Tamandua tetradactyla: one gene and its partner. The protein of the gene in region 1 interacts with the protein of each later gene in a pairwise test. Links are inferred from orthologs where the notes say so. Each region holds a gene or a part of one and is shown on either strand. Other genes may lie near its edges.

Evidence for each region.
Region 2: the proteins of RPIA (region 1) and PCMT1 interact in binary tests that used the Homo sapiens proteins (3 or more experiments, as listed by UniProt). The two-hybrid records come from large-scale screens. The link is inferred for Tamandua tetradactyla from reciprocal best matches to the Homo sapiens genes RPIA and PCMT1.

What each region holds. Positions count from the first base shown.
Region 1 is NC_135343.1:62,578,672-62,594,438, forward strand, and holds the start of RPIA (ribose-5-phosphate isomerase), read left to right. Parts: upstream 1-6,169; coding exon 6,170-6,457; intron 6,458-10,369; coding exon 10,370-10,430; intron 10,431-11,901; coding exon 11,902-11,957; intron 11,958-15,767. UniProt on the Homo sapiens protein: Catalyzes the reversible conversion of ribose-5-phosphate to ribulose 5-phosphate and participates in the first step of the non-oxidative branch of the pentose phosphate pathway.
Region 2 is NC_135328.1:141,295,911-141,311,677, reverse strand, and holds the start of PCMT1 (protein-L-isoaspartate(D-aspartate) O-methyltransferase), read right to left. Parts: upstream 10,499-15,767; coding exon 10,285-10,498; intron 1-10,284. Other genes in the region: nucleoporin Nup43, read left to right, coding at 13,168-13,287, 13,597-13,719, 14,702-14,779. UniProt on the Homo sapiens protein: Initiates the repair of damaged proteins by catalyzing methyl esterification of L-isoaspartyl and D-aspartyl residues produced by spontaneous isomerization and racemization of L-aspartyl and L-asparaginyl residues in aging peptides and proteins.

The DNA of each region.
Region 1 (15,767 bases):
GCATATTAAAACAATTACACCACCACAACCAGGTGGGAATTATCCTGGTATACAACAGTGCTTTGATATAAGAAAATCAATGAATATAGCACATTAACAAAAAGAATGGGAAAAAACCACATGTACATCTCAGTTGATGCAGAAAATAGGATTAACAAAATCCAGCAGCCCTTCTTGATAAAAGCACTTAGAACATTAGGAGCAGAAGAAGACTTCAACATAATAAAGGACCTAAACAGAAGCCTGTACTAACATCCTACTTAATGGTGAAAGACTGAAAGCTTTACCTCTAAGAACAGGAAGAAGACAAGGATGCCCACTGTCACCACTTTTATTCAACACTGTACTGGAAGTTCTTGATGAAGCAATTAGGCAAGAAAAAGAAATAAAAGGAAACAAAATTAGAAAAAAAAAAAAGTAAAACTATCCCTGCTTGCATATATCCCGATTCTATAAACAGAAAATCCTGAAAAATCCACAACAAAGCTCCTAGAGCTAATAAAACGATGTGTTAGTTAGATTCAGTTGTCAACTTGGCCAGGTGAGCGTACCTAGTTCTGTTGCTGCGGACACAAGCAAATGGTACGTGAACCTCATCTGTTGCCAATTACATATGCAGTCAGCTAGGAGGCGTGTCTGCTGCAATGAGTGATGTTTGACTTAACTGACTTGTGCTTAAATGAGAAAACGCAATGTAGCACAGCTTAAGCAGCTCGGCATTCCTCATCTCAGCACTCGCAGCTCAGTCCAGACCTTTGGAGATGCAGAAAGAAGTCACCCCGGGGAAAGTTGTTGGAACCCAGGGGCCTGGAGAGAAGACCAGCAGAGACCATCCTGTGCCTTCCACGTAAGAAAGAACCTCGGTGGAAAATTAGCTGCCTTTCCTCTGAAGAACCAACAAAATAAATCCCCTTTTATTAAAAGCCAATCTGTCTCTGGTGTGTTGCATTCCGACAGCTAGCAAACTAGAACAAACGAGTTCAGCAAAGTAGCAGGCTACAAGATCAACATCCAAATATCAGTAGTGTTTATATACACAAGCAATGAAAAACTGGGAAAAAAAATTCCATTCACAATAGCAACTAAAAGAATAAAATATCTGGAAATAAATCTAACCAAGGATGTGTAAGACTTGTATGTAGAAAATTACAAAACTTTGCTAAAAGAAATCAAAGGAGAACTAAATAAATGGAAAGACATTCCTTTTTCATGAACGGAAAGGCTAAAACTCATTAAGATATCAATCTTACTCCAAGCAATTTTTACATTCAATGTACTCCCAATCAAAATTTCAATACCCTTCTTTGCAGAGACTGAAAACCCAATCATCATATTTATATGGAAATAAAAACAGGGATGAACACCGAAGGCATCATTTTGAAATAAGCCAGAAACAAAAGGACAAATATTGTGTGATCTCACTGATATGAAATAATTAGAACAAGCAAATTCAGAGTCAGAAGCTAGAATGTAGGGTACCAAGGGACAGGCCCTGAATAGCTAAAGCTATATTGAAAAAGAAGAATGAAGTTGGAGGACTCAATGGTGCAGCCATTGTAGAAGATAGTAGGTGGTTCCTCAGAAAGCTAACCATATAATCTGACAATCACACTTTTAATTTAAGCATATACTCCAAAGAAATGAAAGCAGGCACTCAAACTATTTGCACATCATGTTCACAGTGGCATCAACTGATGAATAAATAAAATGTAGTATATATATATATATATATATATATATAAATGGAAAATTATTCAGTTGCAAAAGGGAATGAAATCCTGATAGACATGACAACATGGTTTAACACTGAAGACAATATGTTGAATGAAATAAGCCAGACACAAAAGGAAAAACATTAAATGATCTCACCGATGTGAAATAATTAGAATAAGCAAACTCATAGAGTTAGAATCTAGAACATAGGTTACCCAGCCCAGTGTGGCAATAGGGAATAGGAAGTTAAAGCTTAAAATATACAGGATTCCTATTTAGAATGACAAAAATATTTTGGTAATGGCCAGTGGCAATGGTGATAAAACTCTGTGAATTTAACTACCAGTACTGAAATATATATCTGCAAGTATTCAAAGGGGAAATGTTGCATTATTACATACGGTAACAGGATAAAAATTAAAAATAAATCCATAGAATAACACTACACAGTAAACCCTACGTTAAACCATGTAATATAGTTAATAGTATGATTATAAAAATGTGCTATCATGTGTAAGAAATGTTCCATCCCAATGCATCCCAATGTGCGATGTTAACATTAGGTGATTTTTAGGGATCCATTATTTTATGCATGATTTTTTTTGTAAACCTACAACTTCTCTAATAAGGGGGAAAAAACTCAAACTACTAAATAAATCAGACAATGGTGTGAGCAGTTATGAGCCATGGAGGCAAGGAACCTCTAGAAGCAGGAGAAAGTGCAGGAACATAGTGTCTCCAGAGGAATGCAACCCTGAGGACATCTTTATTTTTGCCCAGTGAGATATTTCACGCTCTGGCCTCCAGAACTATCAGATTATAAAATTGTGCTATTAGTTTGCACGTAATTTGTTACAGGCATAGTAGGAAACTAAAATTTCATGTATATGAAGGAATTAAGATACAATAAAAGTAGCATTTCAAGTAACAGGTAAAGAACCTATTAGTCAATAGATAGTAAGACAGTTAGCTATTAATCTAATTAAAAAAAATAAAGTCAGATTTCTACCATTCGCAAAATTAAAGTCCAGATGGAGTAAAAGCCTTAACACACAAAAGTATTGGAAGAAAATATGGGAGAATATGTTCATGACTTTGGCAAAGAAATTAGTGATGATTACAATATTAAAATATAAAATGTTTGTATATAAAGCACACTATAAACAAAGTCAAAAGACCAGCAAAAAATGGGAGAAATATATTTGTATTTTTATATTTTATATTAAAAAAATATTTGTTGTTCTCTAACCTTTACTTAGAGAATACTTTGTATGTAGAGAATACAAACTATTTTCTAATTAAAAAAAATTGTTTCCAGACATTGCCAAATATCCCCTGAGGGACCAAATCACTCCCATTTAACAATCCCTATTTTAAAAATATCAAAAGGCAGTATATTAGTTTTCCTGGCAGCTAAAACAAATACCATACAATAGGTCGGCTCAAACATATAAACAAACAAAATTATTGGCTCATGGTTTTGAGGCTAGAAGTCTACAATGATGGAAAAATAATGTTTTCAACAAGGCAATGTTCTCTCCCAGAAGACTGTCATTCTGGGGCTGCCTGCCCTGATCCTTGGTTCTTGGCTTTTCCGTCATTTGGCCATGTCTTGTTTCACCCCTGGATTCTGGGTCCTACTTGTGGCTTTTTCTAAGTCTGAATTTTATTCTGCTTTAAGGAACTCCAGTAATCCAGATTAAAACCCAAACTGATTCAGTTGGCCGCACCTTAACTAAAAATAACACCAGACTGTGGATCAAGACCAACAGCATGTCCAAAGTGGGGTGCACAAATAATCCACCACTGGTAGCTTGACGTATATCTAAGGAATGATCTGCATAGCCCTAAGGAATTGTTCTATACGCATTTTCTTCAGGACCATGGGCTTGGTCAGCCATCAATAAGACTTGGTTTTGATAAAGCAAGCAGCATTATGCTGCTTTCCAGTGATAAGTACAGAGTAAGGCTATAACACTAAAATGTTAACCACGACTCATTCTGATCATTAGGCTCACCAGGAATAATAAGGCCCCAGGCTCTCCCAAGGCCTTAATGGTTGGTCAAAATTATTAGTAGACAATAAACCAGCCCTCACGGAACAAAAGGGCACATGTTGAGGCTCCAAAAGATTATTCCAAGGGTATGGGGTGGGGGTGGGGTAGCTTGAGTTTGTTTCTAAGTTGGTCTAGGTGCTGAATAAACGGGTAATTCAAGCTCTAGCCTGAAGTGAATTTGAGCCAGCACCACTTCAATCTCTCCCAAGATGCTCAAATCCATCCCAACATCTGCTTTGCAGCTTCCTACCGTTTTACCTGTGAATCACCTTCAAAATCAACACTTTGGAGGACAGAAAGAGGGAAGGGAGAGTGAAAGGAGGTGGGAAAGCAGGAAGTGACAGAGTGGGAGAGAGTGAACCTAAGCAATTTGGTCTGTAGTATAATGCTGTAAAACATTCTTTCTCAAATCCTCTCCCAAGAGGTGGGGCAAGACTTCTGATATTCTGATAGACAAGCTAATGAGGGGATAACTATATTGGGAAGGAGGGTTAAAAGGGGGAAGGAATGAAGACATGAATGTGGACAGAGAGAAGGGAGACAAGAAGAAATGAGAAACAAAGTAGCCCAAACAGGTGGACCTTTGTAGGACATTACTCACTTGTGAAGTATTGAGCCATGCACTGTGCATCCTATGGGGAACTGCCTCAAGGGACTGTAGTCCTTTGAGTGAGAAAATCAAGTGAACAGAGCAAGATAATAATGGCAGAGTACAAGGTGTCTGGGGGCACATAGGGAGTACCCAACCCAACGATGGCAGGGTTCATGTTTGCAATGTAGTAACTGAGTGGAGTCTCCAAGAACTCCGGGAGCAAGAAAGGTGTACAGGGTGTGCAAAGACATGGAAGTAAGAGCACAGGTTGTGGAGACGGAAATTCTATATGGCTGAAGGTACAGTGTGGAATAGAGGCATAAAATCTATTTATTATTGCATCATGCCTTAGACATTTATTGAGTGCCATCTACATGTCAGTGTTTAAGGGGACTGAAAGATGCAGTAGGTAAAAGAGAAAAAACCATCTCAGAGATGCTTTTAAAGAGGGAGATAGATGATAAGCAAGTACAAAACCAAAGAAGTGAACAAGGACAGTTTTAGGATAGGTAAAGTGGTAGAGGCTAGGTGGGTGCCCTAATTTAGATGGAGTGGTCAGGAAGATTTCCTTAAGGAAGTGTCAATTTAGCTGCGCCTGACCCACAGGAAGAAGCTGGCAGTGCAAAGATGTGCGGTGGGTGGGGGGGGTGGGGGGGTTGTAAGAAGAGCATTTCAGGTGGTGGGAAGTCCTAGTGAAAGGCTCGGAGGCTAGAGGGTAAAGACTGGACACTAACACTTGATCTACCAACCTCTTCGTATGTGTGCTAAGGACCCAGGGTGCCTGAACGGGGAAAAGACTGGCACCAAGGGCTTTCAGCAAGGTCAAAAGTTTCAACTCTGCAGGGACCCACAGAAGTAGGGTCCAGATATTTTATCCTGCTAATCTCTGAATTCCACCTAAAAGTCAAGAATTTAAACATCGCCTCAAAGAATTTTTCCTTCTGCAGACCAAAGTGGACGACCTGGGGCTGACAGCACAGTAAAGAAAACTGAGGCAATGAGGGCGGCGACAGCGGTCCATACTGGACAAGAGTATGAAGGCGAGTTCATGGGATTTCACCAACAAGGACCAGCAGTACAAAGGCAGAGTCACGTGCTTTTAAGGACCTCCAAGTGGTCGGTATGGTTGCGGAAGCATCAATTTCCTCGCTTGTAAAATAGGGACGGTAACAATTTCCCACCCTTAACTATTTCCTAAGCATCTTAACGATAGAGGAGAGAGAGTTGTTAAATTCAGTTAGTTCTCGAGTCTCCAAGGACTGCAAGTCACACTTGTACTTATGGGCCAACTCCACCAGGGCGAAGCACGCCATGCAACGTCTACGGCAGGAGATTCGGAACATGTGGTCCTGCGCCTGCCGGGTCTGAGGACGGATTTCAGCCGGCGCTGGGGCCTAAGAGCGTCTCCAAATGAGCCACTGCCCTGAGGTCTCGACCACGACAGGTCTTCAGTGCTGGGAAAGCTAATGTGTCCGCTCCAACACGCCTGTCCGCACGGGCGCACAGATCAGAGAGATGCATCCAACAACAAACATATCTTCCCAGGAGAAAGGCAGGCACGACGCTCAGACCACAGCCATCAGGGTCGCACTGCCCGCCTCGGAAGCCGGCAACCGGCGAACTGCGCACCAGCCGCGGAGCACCGTGGGGCTGGTAGTTCCGGTGAGAGCGCGGCTACGGACCGCGGGGCCCCGAGAACTACATTTCCCGGGGAGCCCGGCGCGGCAGTGGGAGCGGGCTATGCGCATGGGCAGACACTGGGCGAGCCAGGGCGGGATCGCGGCGGAGGCGGGAGCTCGGCGTCGGGATGCAGCGCCCCGGGCCCTTCAGCACCCTCTACGGGCGGGTCTTGGCCCCGCTGCCCGGGCGGGCCGGGGGCGCGGCCTCGGGCGGAGGCGCGAGCAGCTGGGGCGCCCCGGGCTTCCACGTGCATCCACTGGGACGCGCGGACTCCCGGCCTCACGGCGGCGCGGGCAGTCCGGGTGCTCGTGGCAGGGGCGGTGGTGGTCGCGTCTTCTCTGCCCCTTCCACGATGTCCAAAGCCGAGGAGGCCAAAAGGCTGGCGGGTCGCGCGGCTGTGGAGAACCACGTGAGGGTGAGCCGCGCGGGGCGCCTGCTCCCAGCTCGGTGGGCTCGTCGTGCGCTCCCTGGGCACGGCCGTTGCACGTGCGCGGGGAGGGGGCGTGCGGTGTCTTCCCCAGCTCTTAGATGTATCGTGGGTTGGGGGCGAGCTCCCCAGAAGTTGAGCTCGCTGAAGGCTCCGTGTTCAGGCCGGCCAACAGTTTGTGAAGTGGAACCTGGTGGTGTCGGGTCTCTGGGACGCGGGCTAGAAGGGACTGGCCGCCTGGGTCAGCAAAGGAAAATGGTCGTATTCTGGGGCTGCCGGCAAGCCTGCGGACGGCTGGCTCGCGAGTCTTTGAAGTTCTTCTTAGTCGATTCCCCGCGTGGCACGTGCCGGCCGGCAGAACCAAGGCTGGAGACCCGGCGCTCGGGCGCTCGAACCTCCCTCCTTGACCCGGCGGGCCCGTGAGGTCTGGCGGGTGCTCTCCCTCAGAGTGAGGTTGTTAGGTGTGAGATCCAGGTGCTGTTAGTGGCGTCTTTCAGCCCGGGTGGATTTATCACCAATTAAGTTAATTATAGTACTTTGCAGCCAAATGGAGTACCTGTGCCCTGTAGTGGCGTTTTTCCTGGCCGTTTTGGCTTTCTCTCACCCCCTGTTTTACTTAGAAAGTGGTACTGGGTTCCCTTGTCTCCCGTAATGATAGTTCTTTACATTTGTCAGCGCTTTGCTGTGTAAAGTGGTTTAGTATTGGGTAAAGCTTGAGCGTTGAAATAGCTTAAGCGGAAAGAACCAGTGTGGTAACCTGTGGAGTGGCCGAAGGTCCCGGAGACCTCAAACGGAGTGACTCCCGTACCTTCGCCTTTCTGGTGTAGCTTATGGCATTCCTGGTTAGTGAGAGGATTTTTTAGGAGAATTCACAGAGATAATGTAATATTTATAATCTGGCCCTCTGTTTGGCTTCATGGCCTCGGATAATAAACTGAAATTTCAGAAGGTTTTGGATACCTTGAATTGGTAGTAGACAGATAAATGAAATCTCTTGGAAGAGAAGCCCTAAGTCTTAAGCTTTCCAGATAACCTGTTTATATTAATATTTGGTGGCATATGCTTCCAGGATCATTGTTTTATAGCTATGTGTTTGGTTAAATGAAAAAACTGCAAGCTGCCTCCTCAGACTAGAACCAGGAAACACTTGCATCTCACCCCACCCCAGTTGTACCCAGTTTCCCTGCCAGCTTCTTTCCTGAGGTACCAAGATCAGCTGAGTTTTGTATGTTCTGCTCTTAATCCTTAGAGTTGTAAAATAGGCTAATCAAAGACAAAGGCCCACACCCCTTAGATTCAGGGTGGAGCCTCCAGCAGTTCCTTGAACACATACCCTGTAAGCTCTTGCTCACTTCAGGGTCTTAAATGTTTCCAGACTGTGTTGCAGTCATCTCCAAGATAAGGATAGTAGATCTCTAGGTTTTAAGGGGTTGTCGTGAGGTGTAATTTGTATCAATATTTATAAAACTTCCTGGTAACTGCCTGCTTTTGGTTTCTACTAATTTTGCCTTAGATTAGCAGGAGGTTGTTCCCTGGATGTTGCCTCCGAACTAAACTTCCTGACGGTTGGTTCCTGACCTTGTCTTTCTGTTTGTGATCAGATTGAGCTGTACTTGCTAGTGGTCTGCCTCTTGTCTGCTAATCGGTGTCTTCCTCCTTTCTTATATGGCTCTGCCTTTGTGAGAGGCCTTTCTTTCCCTTTCTACTCAGGAAGTGCTCTGCCCCTGTCATACAGCCTCCCTATATGAGTCTGTAGCTCATGTCCCTAATATGCCTTCCTTCCATGTTCTCTGGGGTGGGCTCTTGCAAAATGGGATCCCCTTGGTCTCGTCTGGGTAGGTGCTGGTGTGCCTGAGTGTATTGAGGTTTACTTCTGTCAACCAAGAAATAACAAACTAAACTTCAAGGCAATAAAGGCATTCATTTGGGGTCTTAGAATTGCAGTTCGGCACAGATTCACGTAGCAACCGAATCCTGGCCCACCTTGGCATTTCCAGGCAAGGGCTTTCACATGGAAAGATTATGCAGGTTGTTTATGGTCAGTGGATATTTGGGGGTACTCCAGCTATCTTTCAGATTAAATAGTTAACTGAATGTAGTGGAGAGGCTGGAGGGAATTGCCTGAAAATGTAGTGCTGTGTTCCAGTAGCCATGCTTCTTGATGATGATTGAACAATGATACAGCTTTCACAATGAGACTCTGTGAATGTGAAAACCTTATGTCCGATGCTCCTTTTAGCTACTATATCAACAGAAGAGTAGAACATATGGAATAAAAAGAAATAATAGGGGGAACAAATGTTAAAATAAATTCAGTTTGCAATAGTGGTAAATGAAAGCGAGGGGTAAGGGGTATGGTACGTATAGTTTTTTTCTCTATTATCATTTTATTTCTTTTTCTGTTGTCTTTTTATTTCTTTTTCCAAATTGATGCAGATGTACTAAGAAATGATGAATATGCAACTGTGTGATGATATTAAGAATTACTGATTGTATATGTAGAATGGAATGATATTTAAATGTTTTGTTTGTTAATTTTTTTTTAATTAATAAAAAAAGTTAAAAAAATAGTTAACTGAATTCTTTATCTTGTGGTTTGTTTATGGTGTTTGGATATCCTTAGGGTTTTCAGGAACATTGTTGCTGGAGGCCTTGCATGCCCTGATATCTGCTTAAGAGTAACCTCCAGAATGACCTCCCAACATCATTTGAAATCTCTTAGACATAAACACTCTATTTTGTTTTTATTTCTGTTACCAGACAAAGGCAGTGGATTCTTTTGACCATCCTCAAATGACCGATTCCTGAGACACGGGTTTCAAAGAGAGAAAGCGTTTATTACTAGTTGCATAGCAGGAGATCAGGTTGCCTAGTGACCTAAAATCTGTCTCTTGAAGTTTAGGGGCTTCAAGATTTTTTATAGATTCTTCAAGGTTGTATGAGGTCATACAATTTCAAATAGCTGGTTCTAAACAGAAAAGGAGGAGTTGAGCAGATGCAATTTGAAAATGTAAAAGGCTGAAACTATTTAATGGCAAATTTAAATTCATTAGCATTAGGGTCTTATCCCTACAAGTTATTTTAAGAAAATGACCTGATAAAGAGAGTGACCGCTCTTACAATCATGAAGGCACAAGATAAGGGCTTTTGCAATCATTATTAGATATCAGGGCAGCTGAATTACAGTTCAGGGATTTGGGACATTTCCCTCTGTTTATATTAATATTCCAGAAAGTAAAAAAGAATATTGATAAAATGATTTAGGAAATATAATCATCCCTCAAAACCTAACTTCTTGGTTACAATTCTTTTAACACTTTAGACTCTCCCAACTGCCCTGCTGGCTTTGAGGGCCCCCTGGGTGGGGGCCCTGATGTCCCTGAGGTTCCCTGCAAGGCCACCAATGAACATAAAGGTGCAGGTGGTCATTCGCCTGCCTTCTCGTGGAAACTTGAAACCCCAGTTTTCTGTTGTTAGTGTGCAACAGGCTCTGCGTTTTCCTTTCTCTTTTGATTCCCTGCCTGGAATTAGCCAGAACCTTTCCGTGTTTGTCTGCAGGCCATGTCTGTGAGGCGCATATACCTTGTGTGCTGTGTGATGTGAGTGGTTAAGCCGATGATTTTGTCTGGTGTGAAGCAGGGAGGAAGTGGTGATGTTGGCAGTGTCGGAGATGGAGAGGATGGCTCTACTGTTACATTGCCCACTGGTTATCAGGATAAAGTGCAGTGTTGAATCTCAACACTTAAGTTTCTGTAAAATAGTTGTAGTACCTTCCTTGTCCGTTAATGATGAATTGCTGTCCGTCAACTAATTTTCATAGATCTAGGAAATAGGCTGAAGAGGAAGTAAAATTTGATATTAATAATAATTAAAATGTTGTTTTCTCCTCTTTTTTGGCAGGATAACCAAGTCCTGGGAATTGGAAGTGGTTCTACAATTGTCCATGCTGTACAACGAATAGGTGTGTTCCTGTTCTGTCTCCTGAATGCTTGTGTGGAGTGATGGGGAGCTGGGAGCTAGGAAAGGTTGGGGAGGTTGGGGACATAGGTTTAGTACCTGCCCTCCTTGGTTCAGGCAGTGCAGAGTGAGGTCAGTTGAGTGTTTCTGTTCTCTTCTGGAGAGAGGCTTTCCTGGGCCTCTTCAACCAAATTTCAGGGCTGCCCTTGGCCTTGTGGACTCTGCTCACCTGGAGGGGAGAGCTGATTTAGGGTAAGATTTTAACAGAATTCTAATCATCTTTGTGTCACACTGCTATCAGTGGTTCTTTGGGGTCCCAGGGATCCTGAGCTTGCCCACTGAAGTTTGCACGTTCTTCAGGCAATCTCAGCTGACAAATTGAGGACAGATTTGGCGTTTGCCCTGTCCATGACCCTGGGGTGGATATGAGTCTCCTGTTGGTGGCTGGTTCTTTCAGTGCTGACTTCATTCTGATTGGGGCAACTGTGCTTATGAAAGGCTCAGGGATTGTCAGCTTCTGTGGCAGCTCAACTGGTTTTACTGCTCTGCTTTTGTTTGTAAGAACAGAGACCACAGGAAAGCCTGACCTGAATCGTGACCTCTGCTTCTAGCTACCAAGTGGACAGTTCCCTGAACACTTGGTCCTTCAGGAGCGTTTGAGGTGCTGGTGTGATGTCTTCTGGAATCTTCTTATTGGCCAAGAAGGAGCTTTAGTGTTGTATGTCTTTTGACTTTAGTATGCAGAGGCTTTTAGATCATAGGAATTACTGTGAATTTCATAATAGTGGTATCTAAACCTAACCAAAATACACCTCAACAAAAGATAGTTAATAGGGTAGTTTTGAACTTTTTTAAATGACGCTTTCCTGCATGGAACAAATTAATAAAGAGTAAATAAACCTCCTTTAATTACTGTTCTGGGGCCTACAAATGATTATATATTTTTTCACTAACACGGAAGTAAAGCTTTAGTTCCTTGAAAAGGGAAGTAAAGCTTTAGTTCCTTGAAAAGGCCATAGAGGGTACTAGTTAAGATTGATGTTAGATTGCTTGGCATCATAGCCCAGCTCTGCAGACTTACTAGCTGCATAATTAGCAAGTTACTTCACTTTCCCAGTCTTCAGTTTTCTCATCTGTTAAATAGGAACAGTAATCATAACTTACCTTTTGGGTTGTTAGGCTTAAAAGAGTTTGTATGTACAAAGTTCTTAGAATACTGCTTGGACATAATAGTAGCAAACATTATGGTGCACTTTGTGTGGTTAATATTAACCTCCACAGGCATTGTAGAGTTCCTGTCTTGGGCCTGAAGGGCAGTCACCAGCTTTTCACCATGGGTGGGGACACAGAATGAAAGGCAGCTGTCAGTGGGAGACAGACGTTTTCCTCACAGTTGGATTTGAACAGACCTAATGTGATAATAAAAATAAAGTGAAAAGAATGAAAACCCACCAAAACGGCTCCTGTCTCCACAGCTGAAAGAGTCAAGCAAGAGAATCTGAACCTCGTCTGTATTCCCACTTCCTTCCAGGTATGTCCTGCTTTCCGTTCTGCATCGTGGCACAACTGATGCTGAATCTTCTGGTTCCCTGAGGATGTGGACATGGGGCTTTGCATGGTGTACCAGGGTTGTTCTAGATGAGAGAGTCAGAAACAGGAGATTTTATTGACCAGAGTTTGCTCATTGTAAATTTGGTTTTAGATTCATTAGTTTATTTACTCAGTGAACTTTTTTAGTGGCCTTGCATTATTTAGAAGTGACCATGTGGAGTATTTAGAAGTGATCATGTGGTATCTTTCTTCAGGAATACTGTCCTCATTTATAGATGAAAAAACAGGCTAAAAAATTAAATGTTGTTAGTAATGCAATTATAGTATATCAATTCCATGTCTAAAGCTCTTTTGCTGTAAGAGTAGAGACTGATGGGGGAGTGCAGCAGAGCTGGTTAAATAGAGGGAAAAATAAGGGAAGAGTGGACTTAAGGAAGTGGAAGGAATTGAGTCATTCCACCTTTCCTCCCTGGCCATTGTGGGGAAAGATATGTGTACAGTCTCATTGGATTGGTCAAGATGATAATATGAACTGGGAGAGCAGGTTAAACTTGAAGGTATTGCTGCTCCTTGGACTCCGTGGACTTAGTTTTATACAGCCAAGACATCTTCAGAATCCTTCCTAGTCCTGAAGGCTGGAGGAGCTGAGCACTGGCCTGCCACCAAGTCTGGTGAATGGACAAAAGCCATGTGTAGAAATCTAGCCCTTTAGAGTAGGGAGTGGAAGCAGGGGTTCCAGGTAGACTGGACAGGGTTAGGATAGTATATACTGTTAGGGCTCCTTGTGTTAATCCTCTTGGGGACTCTGAGCCAGATGGGTGGGCACCCAGGGGTCGAAGCTACCATAGTTCCTCCTTTGTACAGTAGAAAATGAGCAGTCTTTGCACTGCCTTTTTTGCAGTTGTAATCCTGGTGTCCTGAGGAGACTAAAGTCAGAATGACTTGTGGTGAATTTACTTTGTCCAGCATTTTTATTTGTTATTTAATGTGGTGAATTTTCTTTGCCTTTTGGAAATTGTCTTTTGATTTTCTTAATTTTTTACTTTAAAAATTTTTTTCTTAAATTTTTTATCTTTTAAAGCAGTTTTATTGAGCTAAATTCACATACTGTGAAATCCATCTAATATGTACATTCAGTGTCTTCTAGTATATAAACAGTTGTGCATTCATCATCACAATCAATTCTAGAACATTTTCAATCTGAAGAGGGTTCATTATGTTATCAAGTCCCATATTTCATCCTTTGGCTTTCCTTATAGTAACATACTCAACCCTGAACAACCCCTTTCAACCAGTCACACCCACATATCATTGTTTTAGTTACACTTGCTATATAATGTGCTACCGTAATTTCCATACATTTCCAAACATTTACAATTCAACCATATTACATGTTCTGGACAAATTAAGCATCAGTTTCCCATTTTCTGCCCTCATTCTATCTTCTGGTGACCTACATTCTAGACACAACACCATCATGAGTTTGTAAGTCATATTTAGTTCATGTTAGTGAGGTCATACAATATATGTCCTTTTGTGTCTGGACATTTCGCACAACATAATATCCTCAAGGTCCATCTATGTAGTCACATGCGTCATGACTTCATTTCTTCTTATGCTGCATAATTTTCCATTGTTTGTATTTACCATATTTTGTTTATCCATTCATTGGTTGATGGATACCTGGTTTCCATCTTTTGATAATTGTGAATAGTGCCACTATGAACATTGGTGTGCAAATGTCTGTTCATGTCCCTGCATTCAGTTCTTCTGGGTATACACCTAGCAAGGCAAATGTCAAATGCCTTTTCTATGTTAATTGAGATGATCACATGATTCTTCGATTGTTAATATGATGTATTGTCATTAGTTGGTTTTCTTGGGTTGAACCACCCCAACATACCTGGAATAAAACCCATTTGATTGTGGTGTATAGTAATTTTAATGTACTGTTGGATTTGATTTGAGAGTATTTTGTGGAGGATTTTTGGATTGTGAATGCGTTAGTGAGATTGGGCTGTAGTTTACCTTTCTTGCAGTGTCTTTATCTGGCTTTGGTGTTAGGTTGATGTTGGTTTCATAGAATTTGTTAGATAGTGTTTCCCCTTCAATTTTTTGGAAGAATTTAAGTAGGAATCGTATTAATTCTTGGAGTGAATGGTGGAAATCCCCTATGAAGCCATCTGGTATTGAGCTTTGCTTTGTTGGGATGTTTTGTTGACTGTTTCAGTCTCTTTACTTGTGACTGGTTTATTGAGCTCTTCTGTTTCTTCTGGAGCCAGTGTGGGGTGTGTCTAGAAAATTATTCATTTCATCTAAGTTGTCTAGTTTGTTGCCATACAGATGTTCATAGTATCCTCTTACCCCTTTTATTTCTGTGGGGTCAGTAGTAATACCTCCCCTTTCATTTCTGATTTTATTTATTTGGGTCTTCTCTTATTTTTTTGTCAGTCTACCTAAGGTCTTGCTGCTTTTGTTGATCTTCTCAAAGAACCAGTTTTGATTTTGTTGATTCTCTTTTTTATTGTTACTGTTTCTTCAATTTCATCTCTAATCTTTGTTATTTGTTCCTTTCTGCAGCTTTGACATTAGTTTGCTCTTCTTTTTCTAATTCCTCCAGGTGAGCAGTCAGGGCTCTGATTTTAGCTCTTCTTTAATGTAGGCATTTAGGGCTAAAATTTCTCTCTCAGCATTGCCTTTTCTGCATCCCATAAGTTTTGAAATGTTATATTGTAGTTTTCATTCATCTTGAGATATTTACTGATTTCTCTTGCAGTTTCTTCTTTGACCCACTGATTGTTTAAGGGTATGTTGTTGAACTTCCATAGTTTTATGCATTTTTCAATCCTCTACCTGTTGTTGATTCCCAGCTTCATTCATTATGATCAGAGAAAGTGTCTTGTTTAGTTCCAATCTTTCTAAATTTATTGAGACTTGTTTTGTGACCCATGCAGTCTGTCCTGGAGAATAATCCATGGGCACTTGAAAAGGATGCATATTCTGCTCTTTTGGGGTGCATTGTTCTGTGTATGTGTGTTAGATCTAGTTCATTTATCAGATTATTCAGGTTCTCTAATTCCTTATTGATCCTCTGTCTAGATGTTCTATCTATTGGTGTGAGTGGTCTGTTGAAGTCTCCAATTATTACTGTAGAAACATCTGTTTCTCCCTTCAGTTTTATCAGTGTTTGCCTCATGTATTTAGGGGCACCCTGATTAGATGCATATATATTTATAATTGTTATTTCTTCTTGGTGTGTTGCCCCTTTTAATATTTAATGTCCTTCTTTGTCTCTTTTAACAGCTTTGCATTTAAAGTCTATTTTTTTCTAATACTCGTATTGCTTCCTTAGGTTTTTTTTGGATACTCTTTACATGGAGAATCTTTTTGTAGCCTTTCAGTTTCATTCTATGTGTACCCTTAGGTCTGAGGTGAGTCTCTTGTAGATAGCATATAGATGGATCATATTTCTTTATCCATTCTGCCAGTCTCTGTCTTTTGATAGGGGAGTTTAATCCATTGACAGTCAATGTTATTACTATAAAAGCAGTGCCCAGGTGATGGTGCCTAGTTCTGTTGCTGTGGGCTTGAATCATTAGCATGTGAAATTCATCTGTGGCTGATTAACATCTGCAGTCAGCTGAGGGGAGTGCCTTCTGCGATGAATGATGTTGAACTTAATTAGCTGGAGGCTTAAAAGAGAGCTCAGCGCAGCACAGCCCTGCATACCTCATCTCAGCACTTGCAGCTCTGCCCAGACATTTGGAAATTCAGAAAGGAATCATCCAGG
Region 2 (15,767 bases), on another chromosome or scaffold:
AAAATAACAAATCACACTAGGAAAATTGAAGATATGGCCCAGGTAAAGGAACAAACCAACAATTCAAATGACATACAGGAGCTGAAACAATTAATTCAGAATGTACGATCAGACATGGAAAACCTCATCAAAAACCAAATCAATGAATTGAGGGAGGATATAAAGAAGGCAAGGAATGAACAAAAAGAAGAAACTGAAAGTCTGAAAAAACAAATCACAGAACTTATGGGAATGAAAGACACAGGAGAAGAGATGAAAAAAACAATGGAAACCTACAATGGTAGATGTCAAGAGACAGAACACAGGATTTCTGAACTGGAGGACGGAACATCTGAAATTCGACAAGAAACAGAAACTATAGGGAAAAAAAAGGAAAAATATGAGCAGGGACTCAGGGAATTGAAAGACAATATGAAGCGCATGAATATACGTGTTGTGGGTGTCCCAGAAGGAGAAGAGAAGGGAAAAGGAGGAGAAAAACTAATGGAAGAAATTATCACTGAAAATTTACCAATCTCTTATGAAAGACTTAAAATTACAGATCCAAGAAGTACAGCGTACCCCAAAGACAATAGATCCAAATAGACATACGCCAAGACATTTAATAACCAGAATGTCAGAGGTCAAAGAGAAAGGGAGGATCTTGAAAGCAGCAAGAGAAAAGCAATCCATCACATACAAGGGAAGCCCAATAAGACTATGCGCAGCTCTCTCAGCAGAAACCATGGAGGCGAGAAGACAGTGGGATGATATATTTAAATTATTAAAAGAGAAAAACTGCCCACCAAGAATTCTATATCCAGCAAAACTGTCCTTCAAAAATGAGGGAGAAATTAAAACCCTTTCAGACAAAAAAATCACTGAGGTCGCGGGGCAGGGCGGAGGCGGGGGAGGGAGGCCTGGAAGGAGCGCAGGGGAGGGGCCTGTGAGGGCCGGCGCCATGGGCCCACCGCAGCTGGGTAGGAGGTCGGTGCGGTGGGAAGTGCTTGGGAAAGCGGTCCGCAGAGGAATCTCGGGGACCTGGCAGAGCGGCGGGCGCCCTTCCTCAGCAGGGAGGGCCCGGAAAGTGTCGATGGGCGCGCGGTCCGGCGCCCGGTGGGCTGAAACCGGCCAATGAGGAGACTGCGGTGGGGTCCGCGCAGCCCGGGGAAGTGGGCGTGGGGCCGAGCGATGGGACTTGGACACGAAGTCAGCAGCGTCTGGGTTAGCTTGGACCTGGGGTGAGGGACGGGGCTGCCCTGAGCGGTCGCCTTAAGTATCTTCAGCTTTGCGGCCTTCGGGTCTGTCCCAGCAGACAGCAGCCACAGCCACTGGGCAAATGAGGGGTGTGGCAAGTGTTGCTGAAAACTGTGTGTGCAACAGCTGGCTTTAAAAACAGAAAGCCCAGCATGCTCAGTCTCTGCTGAAACCTTTGAGAACCCTCTCCCTGCTGCGTTTTGCATCGAGTCCAGGGTCCTCGTAGGCTCCGAAGCCCTGGCACGCTTGTGCCCCAGCTCTCTGGGACTTCTTTCCTTCCGTTCTTGGAACAAGCCTTCTCCTCAGCTCTTTGGGACCTTGGGACCTGCAGTTCTCTACTGCTCGTATACTTTTCACCCGCTTTCAACCTTTTCACCTCGCTCACATCACGTTTCAGAGACGCATCCCTCAGCTCCATTCTCATGCACGCTCCACTTCCCCTTCTATCTTCACGGCTTACCAGGATTTGTAGTTATTTGCTTGCCTACCTTTTATGTCTGTCTCCCCAACTAGAAGATGAGCCTCTGGAGAGCAATAGCGTGTGCCCAGCCCCGAACAGAGTGCCTGGGAGATTGTCAGTGTTGATTCCTGCAAATATTTATTGAGTGCCTGATAGGGGCAAGATACTCATCTGGGGCTTGGGGCATGACAATAATTATATATCTGCTAACAGAGATATATCTATATCTCTGTTATAGAGATATATATATATAATATATAAAGAACTCCTACAGCTCAGTAACGCAAGGGAAATGACTTGATTGAACTGGGCAAAACATCTGAATAGATATTTCTCCAAACAAGATATACCAATGTCCGGTTAGAATATGACAAGATGTTCAACATCTTTAAGCATCCTTAAGAAAGGCAAATCAAAACCAGAATGAGGTACTACTTCACACCCACGAGGATGGCTTTGATTTAATAGACAAATAGTAAGTATTGCCTAGGATGTGGAAAAATGGGTGCAGCCCCTTTGGAAAACAGTCTGGTAGTTCCTCAAAAAGTTAAATATCGAGTTACCATATAACCCAGCAGTTCCACTTCTAGTGTATACCCAAGAGGAATGAAAACACATGACCATGCAAAACCTTGTGCAAAAATGTTCACAGCAGGACTATTTACAGTAGCCAAGAGGTGGAAGCAACTTAAAAGTCCAAGAATTAATCAAATCAATCAACTCGATGTGGCATATCCGTACAATGGAATATTATTTGGCAATAGAAGTGAATGAAATACTAATACCATGCTGCAAAGATGAATCTTGAAACTTTTTGCTGAGTGAAAGAAGCCAGAATCAGAGGACTATATTTTTGCATGATTTCCTTTATGTGGAGTGTCCATCATAGGGAAATCTGTAGAGACAGAAAGCAGATTAGTGGTTGTTTAGCACTAGCCGTGGGGTGGGGGTACTGGGGAGTGACTGCTGTTGGGTACAGGTGTTTTTCTTTGAGGTGATGAAAATACCCTAAATTGATTATGGTGATGGTTGCAGAACTTTATGAATATACTGAAAAGACCATGGAATTGTACACTTTAAATGGGTGAATTGCATGGTAGGTAGATTATATCTCAAAGTTGTTCTTTAAAAAATTAATGCTACAAAAACTCAGAAATGAACAGCACAATACTACCTAACTGTAATGTAATTATGTTAAAACACTGAATGAAGCTGCATGTGAGAATGATAGAGGGAGAAGGGCTGGGGACATAAATGAAATCAGAAAGAAAGGTAGATGTTGAAGATTGAGATGGTATAATCTAGGAATGCCTATAGTGTATAATAATAGTGACTAAATGTACAAATTTTAAAAATGTTTCTGCATGAGGAAAAACAAAGGAATGTCATTATTGCGGGGTGCTGAAAATAGATGGTAATTAATATTTTAAAATGTCACCTTATGTGTGAGACTAAAGCAAAAAATGTTTGTTACAAAATTTATATTTTGACTAGTGCATTTGCTAATATAACTTATGTAGATAGTCTGATTGAACACCATAAGTACTTGGAATCTCAGGTAGGACATGAGATTTTGTTGGTTTGTCCAAGGAATCCCAGAGTGATTCGATCACTGAGTGGAAAAGTATTTGCAAAGCCCCCTTCGGGGAATGGTGAGAGTGGGGAGAAATTCAACTTCCCCAAGTTGAATTCCTGATATTCTCAAAAGCAGTGGGGACAACCAAAGCTATAGGCTGAGTCCCCAGTCTTGGGGTTTGTTCATATGAAACTTAACCCCACAAAAGATAGGTCAAGTCTACTTAAAATTTAGGCCTAAGAGTCACCCCCAAGAGAGCCTCTTTTGTTGCTCAGATGTGGCCTCTCCCTCTAGCCAACATGAGGAGCAGTCTCACCACCCTCCCCCTCTCTGTGTGGGACATGACTCCCAGGGGTGTGGACCTTCCTGGCAACGTGGGACAGAGATCCTAGAGTGAGGCTTGGGGTATGACAATAATTATATATCTGCATTAAGGGACTCAGCATTAATGCAGCATTAATTAATGACTCAGCATTAAGGGATTGAGAAAAACCCTAGAATGAGCTGAAACTTAGCATCTAGGGATTGAGAAAACTTTCTCGACCAAAAGGGGGAAGAGGGAAATGAGACAAAATAAAGTGTCAATGGCTGAGAGATTCCAAAAGTTATTCTTACGCTTTAAGTAGATATCACCTTGTTATTCAAGATGTAATGGAGAGGCTGGAGGTACCTGCCTGAAGATGTAGAGCTGTGTTCCAGTAGCCATGTTTCTTGAAAATGATTGTATAATGATAAAGCTTTCACAGTGTGACTGTGTGATTGTGAAAACCTTGTGCCCGATGCTCCTTTTTTCTACATTGTCAACAGAGGAGTAGAACATATGGAATAAAAATAAATAATAGGGGAAACAAATGTTAAAATAAATTTAGTTTGAAATACTAGTGATCAATGAAAGGGGTATGGTATGTATAAATTTTTTTTCTGTTTTCGTTTCATTTTTTTCTGAATAGATGCAAATGTTCCAAGAAATGATCATGATGATGAATATGCAACTATGTGATGATATTGTGAATTACTGGTTATATATGTAGAACGGAATGATCAAAACAGGAATGTTTGCGTTTGTTTGGTGTTTTTTGGTATTTCAAACAATATAATAAAAAAAAATTTTTTTAAAGATGTAATGGACAGCCTGGAGCTACCTGCCTGAAGATGTAGAGCTGTGTTCCAGTAGCCATGTTTCTTGAAGATGATTGTATAATGATAAAGCTTTCACAGTGTGACTGTGTGATTGTGAAAAAAAAAAAAATCACTGAGAGAATTTGTGACCAAGAGACCAGCTCTGCAAGAAATACTAAAGGGAACACTAGAGACAGATACGAAGACAGAAGAGAGAGGTGTGGACAAGAGTGTAGAAAGGAAGACTATGAGTAAAGGTAAAAAGAAGGAAAATTAGATAGGACATATAAAATCCAGAAGGCAAAATAGGAGAAGAAAGTACTACCCATGCAGTAATAACACTGAATGTTAATGGATTCAACTCTCCAATCAAAAGACATAGTCTGGTAGAATGGATTAAAAAACAGGACCCATCTATATGCTGTCTCTACTCAAAGGACACGAGGCCAAGGACACAAATGGACATTTGTGGGGGAACAAATGTTAAAATAAATTCAGTTTGAAATGCTAGTGACCAATGAAAGGGAGGGTATGGGGTATGGTATGTATAAATTTTTTTTCTGTGTTCGTTTTATTTCTTTTTCTGAAGAGATGCAAACGTTCCAAGAAATGATCATGATGATGATTATGCAACTATGTGATGATATGTGAATTACTGATTATATATGTAGAACGGAATGAGTATATATTAAGGATGTTTGCATTTCTTTCTTACAATTTTTTTAATTAATAAAAAATAAAATTAAATAAATAAATAAATAATCGGGGAACAAATGTTAAAATAAATTTAGTTTGAAATGCTAGTGATTAATGAACGTCAGGGGTTGGGGCATGGTATGTATAATCTTTTTTTTTCTGTTTTTGTTTTATTTCTTTTCCTGTTGTCTTTTTATTTCTTTTTCTGAATTGATGCAAACGTTCTAAGAAATGATGAATATGCAACTAAGTGATGATATTGTGAATTACTGATTATATATGTAGAATGGAATGATCACATGTCAATGTTTTAGTTCGTTTGTTAATTTTTTTTACTTAAATAAATTAATTTAAAAAAAAAGAGAAATGCATGATCTTGGAACCAAGGGTATAAAAAGATTTTTAATCTATGCTAAAGAAATGATTATAAGGCAGTGAAACTGTTGTCATTCAAAACATACATTTTCTCCTGTTTTATAATTTATTTTCATATCAATTTCTGGTACAAATTTCAAACAGAAAGACTTGGGAAAAAAACAGTTTCAACATTTTGAAATATTTATGCCATCAAATGTGAGTCTAATTGTCTGAATTTAGAACTTTATCTACTCTATGAGACTAAAGGAAGAGAAGTTTATTTTGTCCAGAATCTAAATTTTCTGTAGCGCGTAATCCTATTCAATCTACCTTTATAGATCATATAAACAACCCAAACACAGGGAGCCCAGAATGGAAATGAAGGCTTGTAAACCCATATAACTTTATGTAATGTCTGGATATATCCCAGAGTATGTTGAACAGATAGTTAAAAGGTATTGTCAAAATCCCTTGAGCAATGGGAGAAAAAATATGAAACTATTAAACTTTACTACTGGGGAAACCCCTGATAATGTCTTAAACATTAGGAACTCCCAAGTCAGTAGGCCAAAACCTTGATCTTGAGGCTTGCTCTTCTGAAGCTTATTTATGTAGTGTAGAGCTTAGCCTACCTATAGGTATGACTGAGTTACTTACAGAAGACCTCTTTTGTTGCTCAGATGTGGCCCCCCCTCTCTCTAAGTCCACCTCAGCAAGTGAAATCATTCCTGTCCCCCCTACGTAGGACATGACATCCAGGGATGAAATTCTGCTTTGTAAGGTGGGAGCTGACTCCCACGGATGAACTGGCCCTGGTACCATGGGATTGACATTGCCTTCCTGACCAAAAGGGGAAAAGAACTGTAACAAATAAGGTACCATTGGCTGAGGGAGTTCAAATAGCATTGAGAGGCTACTCTGGAGGCTACTTGTAAGCAAGCTTCAGCTAGACATTGCTATTTATCATGGTTTGGTGACCCCCAACCAAAACCATTCCTGCCAACCCTAAAGAACACCTAGGGCTTTATCTGAGACTCTACAAAGGTTCCATGCACTAAGATAACTTTCCGGAAATCTACAGCTTCCAGGTGGGTTCCCAGGCCAATTAAATCCTGAAACCCAGAGGGGCAAGCCTCTTCAGAACATCAACTAGTTCCGTCTTCCATCCCTTATTATCAACAGCTCTTTCCAACATGAAAAAGTTAGAATGGGCACAGCCCAAATACCCCTAAAAATTGGGACAAAGACCAAAGGGGAAGGTGGAGTTACAATAGAAAAGGTAGGATTTAACAAATGAGTATGTCTACTGAATCATTATATTGATACTTCTTTTAATCTCCCATGTCTTGGAGCAGGTAGAAGTAAATCTCTGAAATCTGTTCTACAACTCAGTGTTGTGGTGTGCTCTGATATTTATTGCTTTTTGGGTATATGTTAATTTTTACAATAAAAAAAATTAAAAATTACTGAATAAATGAAGGAAGAAACCAGTTTTAAAAAATGTGGGTCTATACTTTCCCACCAAACTTTAGCATTCTGATGAAAGATGTTGTTTTGAAAATCCACCCCATAAAGTAACCATTAAATTCATTCAAATTGTTTGGACAGCCTTAATACAATTTTTTTTGTATGCTTTCACTGGGGAAAAGTTCTATTATTGGATTGGTCCTGAATAAACACTGAAGTATTTTAATGATCATTTAAAAAAACAGAATATGTTTACAGCCTGGGGAACTTATGAATAAAAAGGTGAAAAATGCAGGAAAAAAAAAAGATTCCACTAAAATGGTGGCAAAGTTTAATGTCATTTTCATTTCTCAAAGACAGTGGTTCCTGGACCAGCAGAATCAGCATCACTTGGAAACTTAGTAGAAATATAAATTGTTGGGCACTAGTGATTTGCTTTTAACAAGCTCTCCAGGTGATTCTGAAAATTTTGAAGATACTCAAGTTTTAGAACCACTGTTCCAAGTTACTAAAAAGCAATTTCATTAGGCGGGCCATGGTAGCTCAGTGACAGAGTTCTCATTATAATATAAACTAAGATATTAAGATAGTAACCATTCCAGTCTAGGTCATTTAAAACTATGTTTTTACTATGATGTCTTATAATTAAAAATAACAGTAAATATTTTCAATAAATTAGTATAAAAGTATTGTGCTGCTTTGACATGATGTATGTATCCTAGAAAAGCCATGTTTTAATCCTAATCCCATTTTGTAAAGGTAATCGTTTCTTCTAATCCTTATTCAGCATTGTATGCTTGAAACTGTAATTAGATCATCTCCCTGGAGATGTGATTTAATCAACAGTGGTTGTTAAGCTGGATTAGGTGGAAGTGTCTCTGCCCATTTGGGTGGGTCTTGATTAGTTTACTGGAATCCTATAAAAGAGGAAACATTTTAGAGAATGAGAGAGATTCTAAGAGAGAGCAGAACAACATAGCCACGAGAAGCAGAGAGCCCACCAGCCAGTAACCTTGGAAATGGAGAAGGAAAATGCCTCTCAGGAAGCTTCAGGAAACAGGAAGCCAGGAGACCAAGCTAGCAGATGACTCCGTGTTCATCACATGCCTTTCCACTTCAGAAAGAAACCCTGAACTTCATCAGTCTTCTTGAAGCAAGGTATCTTTCCCTGGATTCCTTAGATTGGACATTTCTATAAACTTTTTTTAATTGGGACATTTTCTCAGCACTAGAACTGTAAACTAGCAACTTATTAAATTTCCTTTTTTAAAAGCCATTCCATTTCTGGTACATTGCATTTGGGCAGCTAGTAAACAAGAACAAGTAATAAAACAATTCATTATGAATCTCATTTCCTTTGAAAAACCATTAAAATTGTAATTTCCTTAATTCGTTCCCATTTCTAATTTGCAGATCCTTTTTCACTTCAACATCAACATAATCAAATGTTCATACCTTTCAAAGGATTTTTAGGAACAGTGAAATAACCAGGAAGGTGGAATTTTCAATTTCGCACAAACTGAAATTTTCACATGAACAAATATTACTTTTATAACAATAAAAAAGAAATCTATTAGCTAAAATTACCTCAGCAAGAAGTTGAAACTGAAGTTGCAGGAGTGTTACAAAAGAGGTTAAGCAACTTGAGTACTCTAATTCCTTTAGAAACCACAGATCTAAGTATCAAACTAAATATCTGCAATTTTAACATCCATGCATATTAAATAAATTTTTTGACAGAAAAACATCTTAGACTTTTCAGCTAAGAACAGTAATTGATACATCAAAATGATAGTAAACTCACTGGGAAAAGAGTTAGTCTTGGCTTAGCACAAATTTGACGCCCAAAAAGGAGAGATTTTAAGAGCCCAATTACAAATTTCTGCCACAGCCAACTGTCTACTGGGATAACCTACTTTGGGAAAAATACTTAATCACAATTTATATATAGAATATTTAAGGTGTGTACACTGCAATAATAAGCACCTGGAGCACATTAAGCAATTTTATAAATGTATTTACGATATATTGAACATATACGCAATCATGGGAACCTTCACCACATGACTGTCTCAGCATTTTCACTATTTCCAATTAACTATCCTTTCATAAACTGAGAATTGACAATGACAGAATTTTGAAATCTATTAATTCTTTGCTAAACACTAAGACAATTTCTACATTCTAAGTACTGCCAAACAAAGGTCAATGACTAATATTAAATACCAAGCATGTGCAGGACAGTATTAAATACTTCCCTCATTCATCTTTGTATTCCCACCATAAAACTAAGCATATAAGAGATATTTAATTGGTATTTTTAGGAAATGTTATGAGTATTAAGTTATTTGAGAGGATTAGAAATCCTCAAGAAGATTAGAGAGTTGGGAGATATGACAAACACATGAAAAGTTAAATAACATGACAATTAAAAATACCACGTGACAAAATATGATTATTTGCAAAATAAGCGGCAAAGAGAGTGCTATAAGCTCTGATTAGAATGAGATCATTATGGACAGCAGTCCTGCGGATCTTGCGAACAGACGGCGACACGATATTTCAACTTAAAAAAAGAAAGTGACACAGCATTCATCCCACCCTAAAATTATCTTCAGAAGAAAGAATAAAGAGAATGGTATAAAGAAACTTCCATACAAGGTTGTTAAAGCATATGATACTCCTGAAAAAAGTTAGAATATTCACACACACACACACACACACACACACACACACACACACACACAATCGTTTGCTGGGTCCCAGGACCCCTAAAGGGTCCTGAATACAAGTCTAGCAAAAACAGCATGCCCTCTCTCATCCTCCACCCCTCACAAAGCACTGCACTGGGCAGACGCCCGAGAAATTTCTCCCAGCCTCTTCTACGGCAATATTCTCATCTTCCTCTCCCTCCCCTCGCCTATATCAGACGGTGGCATCTTCCTCCAGGGGAAAAAGCAGAGGGCGGGGGAGGCAGAACAGGAGGGAAAGCTTGCAATGAGGTCGACTTTAGAGCAGAAGGAAAGCGAGAAAATGCGGGGGGCAAGGCTGGGGTCCCCTCAGTCCTGCCCAGCTTCCGGAAGCCTGGCAATACCATCTTACCCCAACGAACGCCCCCCGCCGCGGGACTCAAGACAGCAGGCGGCTGACTCCGCGGACAGCCTCCGCCCCACCTGGGCCACCCGGCCCTCCACGCCCCCACCTCTCCTCCACGTCGCCGTTAAGTGACAGGTCTTCGTCGGAGGAGGCGGGGGGAGGTCGCACACACTAGCAGTTAGGGAGCTGAGGCCCTCCGCAGCAGGGGGACACAACGTCGCGGCCGGACCGGGGTCAGTCCAGGCCCGGCCGCCGGTGCGGTGGAGGCGGCACTTACTGCGGAGATTGTGGATGAGCTCCGAGTGGCTGGCGCCGCCGGATTTCCAGGCCATCGCTAGGCACACCCGGAGCAGGTACAGAACCACCTTCAGCGCGGCGACGGTGCCCAGCAGCTTCCCCAGGAGTGACACCACCTCCCACACGGTCACCACCCCGCCCGCGTCTCCGCCGGAGCCGCCGCCGCTGCTGCCGCCACTGCGCGCTCCCGGCATGCCCCGGGGCACGCATGCGCCCTGTGACGCCGCGCTCTGGGCGGGGCCGGGTGGGGCCGAGGAGGCGCCTTCCCAGGACTCCCCCGAGGCTGGATGGGTGGTGCAATCTCCCGAGTCTCTCGCTGCGCATCGCCTTTCCTCGGGCTTTCCTCTGGTCGATCCTGGAGACCCTCGCTCTTGTCCCAGTGCAGAGCGATTTTGCGGCCGGTCTGCTTCACCACGGTCACTGGTAGTTCCGCAGTCGCCTCTCGGTCAGCTGTTGCGAGCCACGGGGCTGCTCCTATAACTGTCCACGTTGTTAAGCGGTGGGCTTCCCCCGCCCTGCCTCACCCAGCCCAGTAGCTAGGGTAGAACCCCAGCTCCGGATGGTGGAGTCTGTAGGATCTGACTCGGGCTTGGGACAGCGCTGGTTAGCAGAAAGCTTGCTATCCTCGTTTGTTGTCACTTCTAAAGCACAAATTCAGACAGAAAATTATATCATGATAAAGGATGTAGGGATTGGGTGTTTTGCCCCTTGAAACAACGCACATTTGAAGATCTACAATTGGTTAAAAATCCCACAGTATGCTGAAGACTCACAAATTCCACCGTTAGACTGGGCACCGACTTTGTTGCTATCAGCTCTGCAGACGATGAGCGAGAAGCTGTCAGGGAACATTGCCTGTCTCAGACAAAATGCTGACTCCTGTATCTAATCACAGTCTGATTGGAAGACAGCCCCTTGGATTCTCCTTTCTCCAAGTGATGAGCCCACAACTCCCTGTCCCAACCTGAGAACTCAAGTTGCTGCTTAGGTTTTTTCTACAAAGCTGTGTGATCTAAGTGAACCCAACCCCTGACCTCCATCTTTTCTCTCATTTCCTTTCCTTTATAATACTTGTTTACTCCAGTCCTTCTCCAAGCCCAGGCTGTGACAAAGAAGGGCCCATTCTGTTTCTCTTCATCTCATCTATTCATCACTCTCACTGGCACCCTCTCTTCCTGGGAAACACATATAATTGTATTGTCAGGTGTGGGGAATGAATGATCTTTTTCCCCCCAGATACATTCTTACTTATTTGAGACATCTGATTCCCTTAGAATCCTGACCCTTGATTCAGGGGGGTGGCTTGCAAAAGGGGAAGGAGTGCAGTCTGGTACCCTTCTCCTGCAGGCCCCATGGGGTACTATCTAATAAATATTCTGAGTATGGAAAAAAAAATGCTGACTCCTAATCAGAACCGAGGCTAGTAGAACCCAACCATCACTTGGTCCAGTACACTTTTAAGGAAGGAAGCAAAGCTATACCGAGACATCTATACTACTGTGCCAGTTTCATTGTTCAGGTTCTAATTCTTAACAGACTTTGCTAAATGTGACATGAATCTGATTTCCAACCTGAAATATACTTAGACCTTACCTTTTTTTCTGGCATCATGTGATCATAAACACTCAAAACAGTGTGCTCTACTTGAATATTAGAAATAAAATGGTCAGTTTGGAATTCTAATAGTTTGCCTTGCTCTCTGCAACTTCCTGATGGTCTTCTTGTTAGGGGAAAAAAATGTCAAGTCATTGATAGGAACCTGATAACTCTCTAAAGCTGGCCTGGGTGGATTGAATTCACATGTGGTGATTCCATAAGCTGTAGTTGTCGAATAGGACTACCAGATAAAAATAAGAGCAAGAAAGTATCATCGGCGTTCTAAAAAAACAGGAGATACAGTTATGAATACCTATAATGTAAAGGAGATAAAAAGATGAAGAATTTACACCTCTTGTATGAAATTGGATTTACGTTCTAATTGAGGAGATCTGTGCCAAAGGAAAACTAGCAATAGAAAGCAAAATATAAGTACCATCAGTGCTGTAGATAACCAGTGCTATGTTTATATAGATCATCATGGACTGTGGTAATCAGGAAAAGATAGCTGAAGGAACTAATGCTTGAAAGGTGAGCAAGATTCTGGGAAAGGAAGAAGAATGGATGTTATAGGTATAACTAAAGGCACAGGAGAAGGAACCTAGAAAACTAATTCCTAGGCTGTTGACTTTCGATATCACCATATTCATTCTTTATTAATACGTAAATGAATTGACCAGGGTTACAGCTAGGCAATGGGCTGCAAATTAGACCTAGAGTCTTAAGAATTCCAACGCCGGACTCTGACAATGTGTTATTAACAAATGTGAAACAAAAGATTTGTTTGGGGGCAAAGAGGGAGAGGTTTTGATAATAAGTTGGTGCATTAGTAGAGGTACCTCCGTGAGAACGGTAAGGATCTTGCGTATTTCTATACGCGGTGAAGTGCAACTGAATACTTAGATATCATTACAAGGTGGTTTCTCCTGCACTGATTTTGGTTTTGCCCTTAAAATTCATTTTACATTGCACACTTATTGCACAAATACACTCTCTCAGCCTTCCTGTAGTCATTTTGCCGGTTAAGAGCTGACCCTACAGCACAAAACCGTAAGGCACCCTTGTCAGAGCCGCCCCTGCTAGCTTGGGTTGATAGTTTCCTACCGGCCACCCCTGCCAGCTTGGGTGCTAGGACCAATCCGGTCTTCTTCGCCCAAGGAGGAAGATTGGCCCTCCTCAGACACCATCCCATCTATGTCCCATCCAATCAGGGTGAAGGACAGGGCTTAGAGCGCGCGCGGCAGTGCTTGCCATTTCTGCTTCTGGCATGGAGGAATTTTACGCCAAGTTTGTGTCTCAGAAAATCAGCAAAACCCGTTGGAGGCCCGTGCCCCCGGGGAGCCTACAGACCGCGGAGACCTTCGCTACAGGCTCTTGGGACAACGAGGTACCTCGACCCTAGCGACAGCCTTTCCCCACACTTGGGCCCCCTGCATCTGCGGCCCGGCCTCCCGAGCCAGTTCTCGCCCGCTAGCTGTTCCTACCTTCTCCGAGTCGGGGGACTATCTCGGGCTCTGTTGCCTGGTGCTCAGAGCCGGCAATAGAATGCCTGAATGTCGTACCTCTTAATGGTCTGAACTTAACCGTTACTGTTTATTGAGGTGATTTTGATGCAAGGTTGCCTGAGGGCGTACGAATTTTAATTTCCCAGGGTTGATGCTTCTTTTGCTTCAAGACAAAACTTTCTGCTTTACAGGAAAATTATGTTTCCCTGTGGTCTATTGGAGATTTTGGAAACTTGGACTCTGATGGAGGTTTTGGAGGAGACCATCAGTTATTGTGTGATATCAGACACCATGGTGATGTCATGGATTTGCAGGTAAGTCTGTGTAGTATCTACGAATTGTTAAAACAACTGAGAGATACACTTAAAGATAAAAAAAAAAAAAAAAGCATCATAAAAGGTACACGGGTGGTTCAGTAGTAGAATGCTCGCCTTTCATGTGCGAGACCGGGTTCGATTTGGGGACCATGCAACACCCTCACCCACCAAAAAAAAAAATACCTTAAAGTTTTTTCTAGTCTCACCTTTCGTTACAGCCTCTGTGGGCTGAATGATTTTGCTAACGTCATAAAAGTATATAGTGGCAAAATCAGAACTCAGGCGGGAAATATAGATTTAATCACAGTTTTTTATCAGTTAACCAGCTAACAAGTGCCAAACACTGTTTTGGGAGCTTACACAAACTTAACCCTCGTTTCACGTCTGTGAATCAACTTTTGTTATTTGTTTTACCAGTGTGAAAACTATATGCTCAAGAACTTCTGTTGAGCATATATGCCTTTTGACAAACACTGGGCAAGGCAATTTACAAGGTTTTGCTTTTTGAATTCTCCCCCCCCCCCCCCCCATAAAGAAATAAGCGCTCCCATTTCAAAGGTTTACAAGCCTTGGAGAGCTTAATTTATTTGTCCATTGTCTAAGAGTCAGTAGTAAGTGATAGGGCTGGAATTAAGTATAGAATTAAGTCTGTATAACTTTAACATCCCTGTATTTTATTCTATAAAAAACTGTCTATCCCTGGAAATATTTTTCTAAATCTTTATTGTAATGGCTAAAAATTAAATCAGTTGCAAGCAAAGGAGTTTAGGGAAAAAATGCTGTTATTTATTATTCATGAAAATAGTATTATTTGTCTAGAAGTTTTTGCGTCTTAAATCTATTATTGCATTTTATTTGCTTAGCATACACGAGCTCTCTTTAAATTTGTTATACAGTTTGATACTGATTGAATTGAACAAATGGGTTTCCTCCCTACTAATGTTTTTGAATCCATAATAAGCAGCATTTTTCTACTTAGTTTTTGGACCAGGAAAGAATCGTAGCAGCTTCATCAACAGGATGTGTAACTGTTTTCCTTCACCATCAGAATAACAAGGTAAAGAACCTTTTGTTTGAAAACCACATTTGTGTTTTAATTATTTGGAGGAAGGTTTGCAGAAGACTGCTTAGTAATCATTACAAATAATTAAACTTCACAATCTCAAAACATGCTGGAGGGAAATCCACTGTTACTACAAAACTTTTGGTTGTTTGATTCTGGAATTATCTTTCTATGGCCTTTTATTGAACTTGGATATCCCTTAGCTTGTTAAATAAATTCTGTTAGTAGTTTTGACCTAAAAATGTGATATTCCAGTAGGTAATTTTGCTGTAATTCTGCCTTATAAGTTCTTTTGAAGAAAAAAAGAGTATCTTTCAGCTCAGATGCCTTGAGAAAGGAAAAGGAACAGTTGCTTTGCTTAGCTTGATGGATCCCAGGTTTTAATTAGAAGAGGATACACTGTTTGAAGACTGACTTTTTCTCAATGTCTTTCTTTTTGCTAAAGCCCAAGTGTACTGACCTTCACAGTTCCATGGTGAGGGCAATTGTTAAAAATAGCTTCACTTGCAGTAACACAGTTTGAAGTTGCTTATTTAGGTTTGGAGGTTAATAGAGGTATTGTTAATGGGTATGGGTAGCACATCTGGCTAAGTATTTTCCTTAATGGAGTCATTTAGAAAGAGCTATTGAGATTTATTTCTTAGATGTAGCCTAATTCCCATTAGAATGTAGAGTTGCTTTTGAACGCACAACTACTTGATACCCAAGGACCATTTCTTTATTTGACATAAAGATTGGAAACATTTGTTTTGAATCTAATTAAACGTATGTGAAGCTTTGATGAGAGTAATTTCTAGACATTAGTACTCTGAAATACAAAGGAGAAAGGAGAGCATTATTTTTCTAGAAAGATGTGAGACAGAATTTTTTCTTTTTTTTTTTAATTGTGGAAGTATTTGTGTAACAAATCTTCACATTCAAAGCTTCCCAAACATTACCATTCAGTGGGATTAATCATATTCACAATATTGTGTACTCTCAC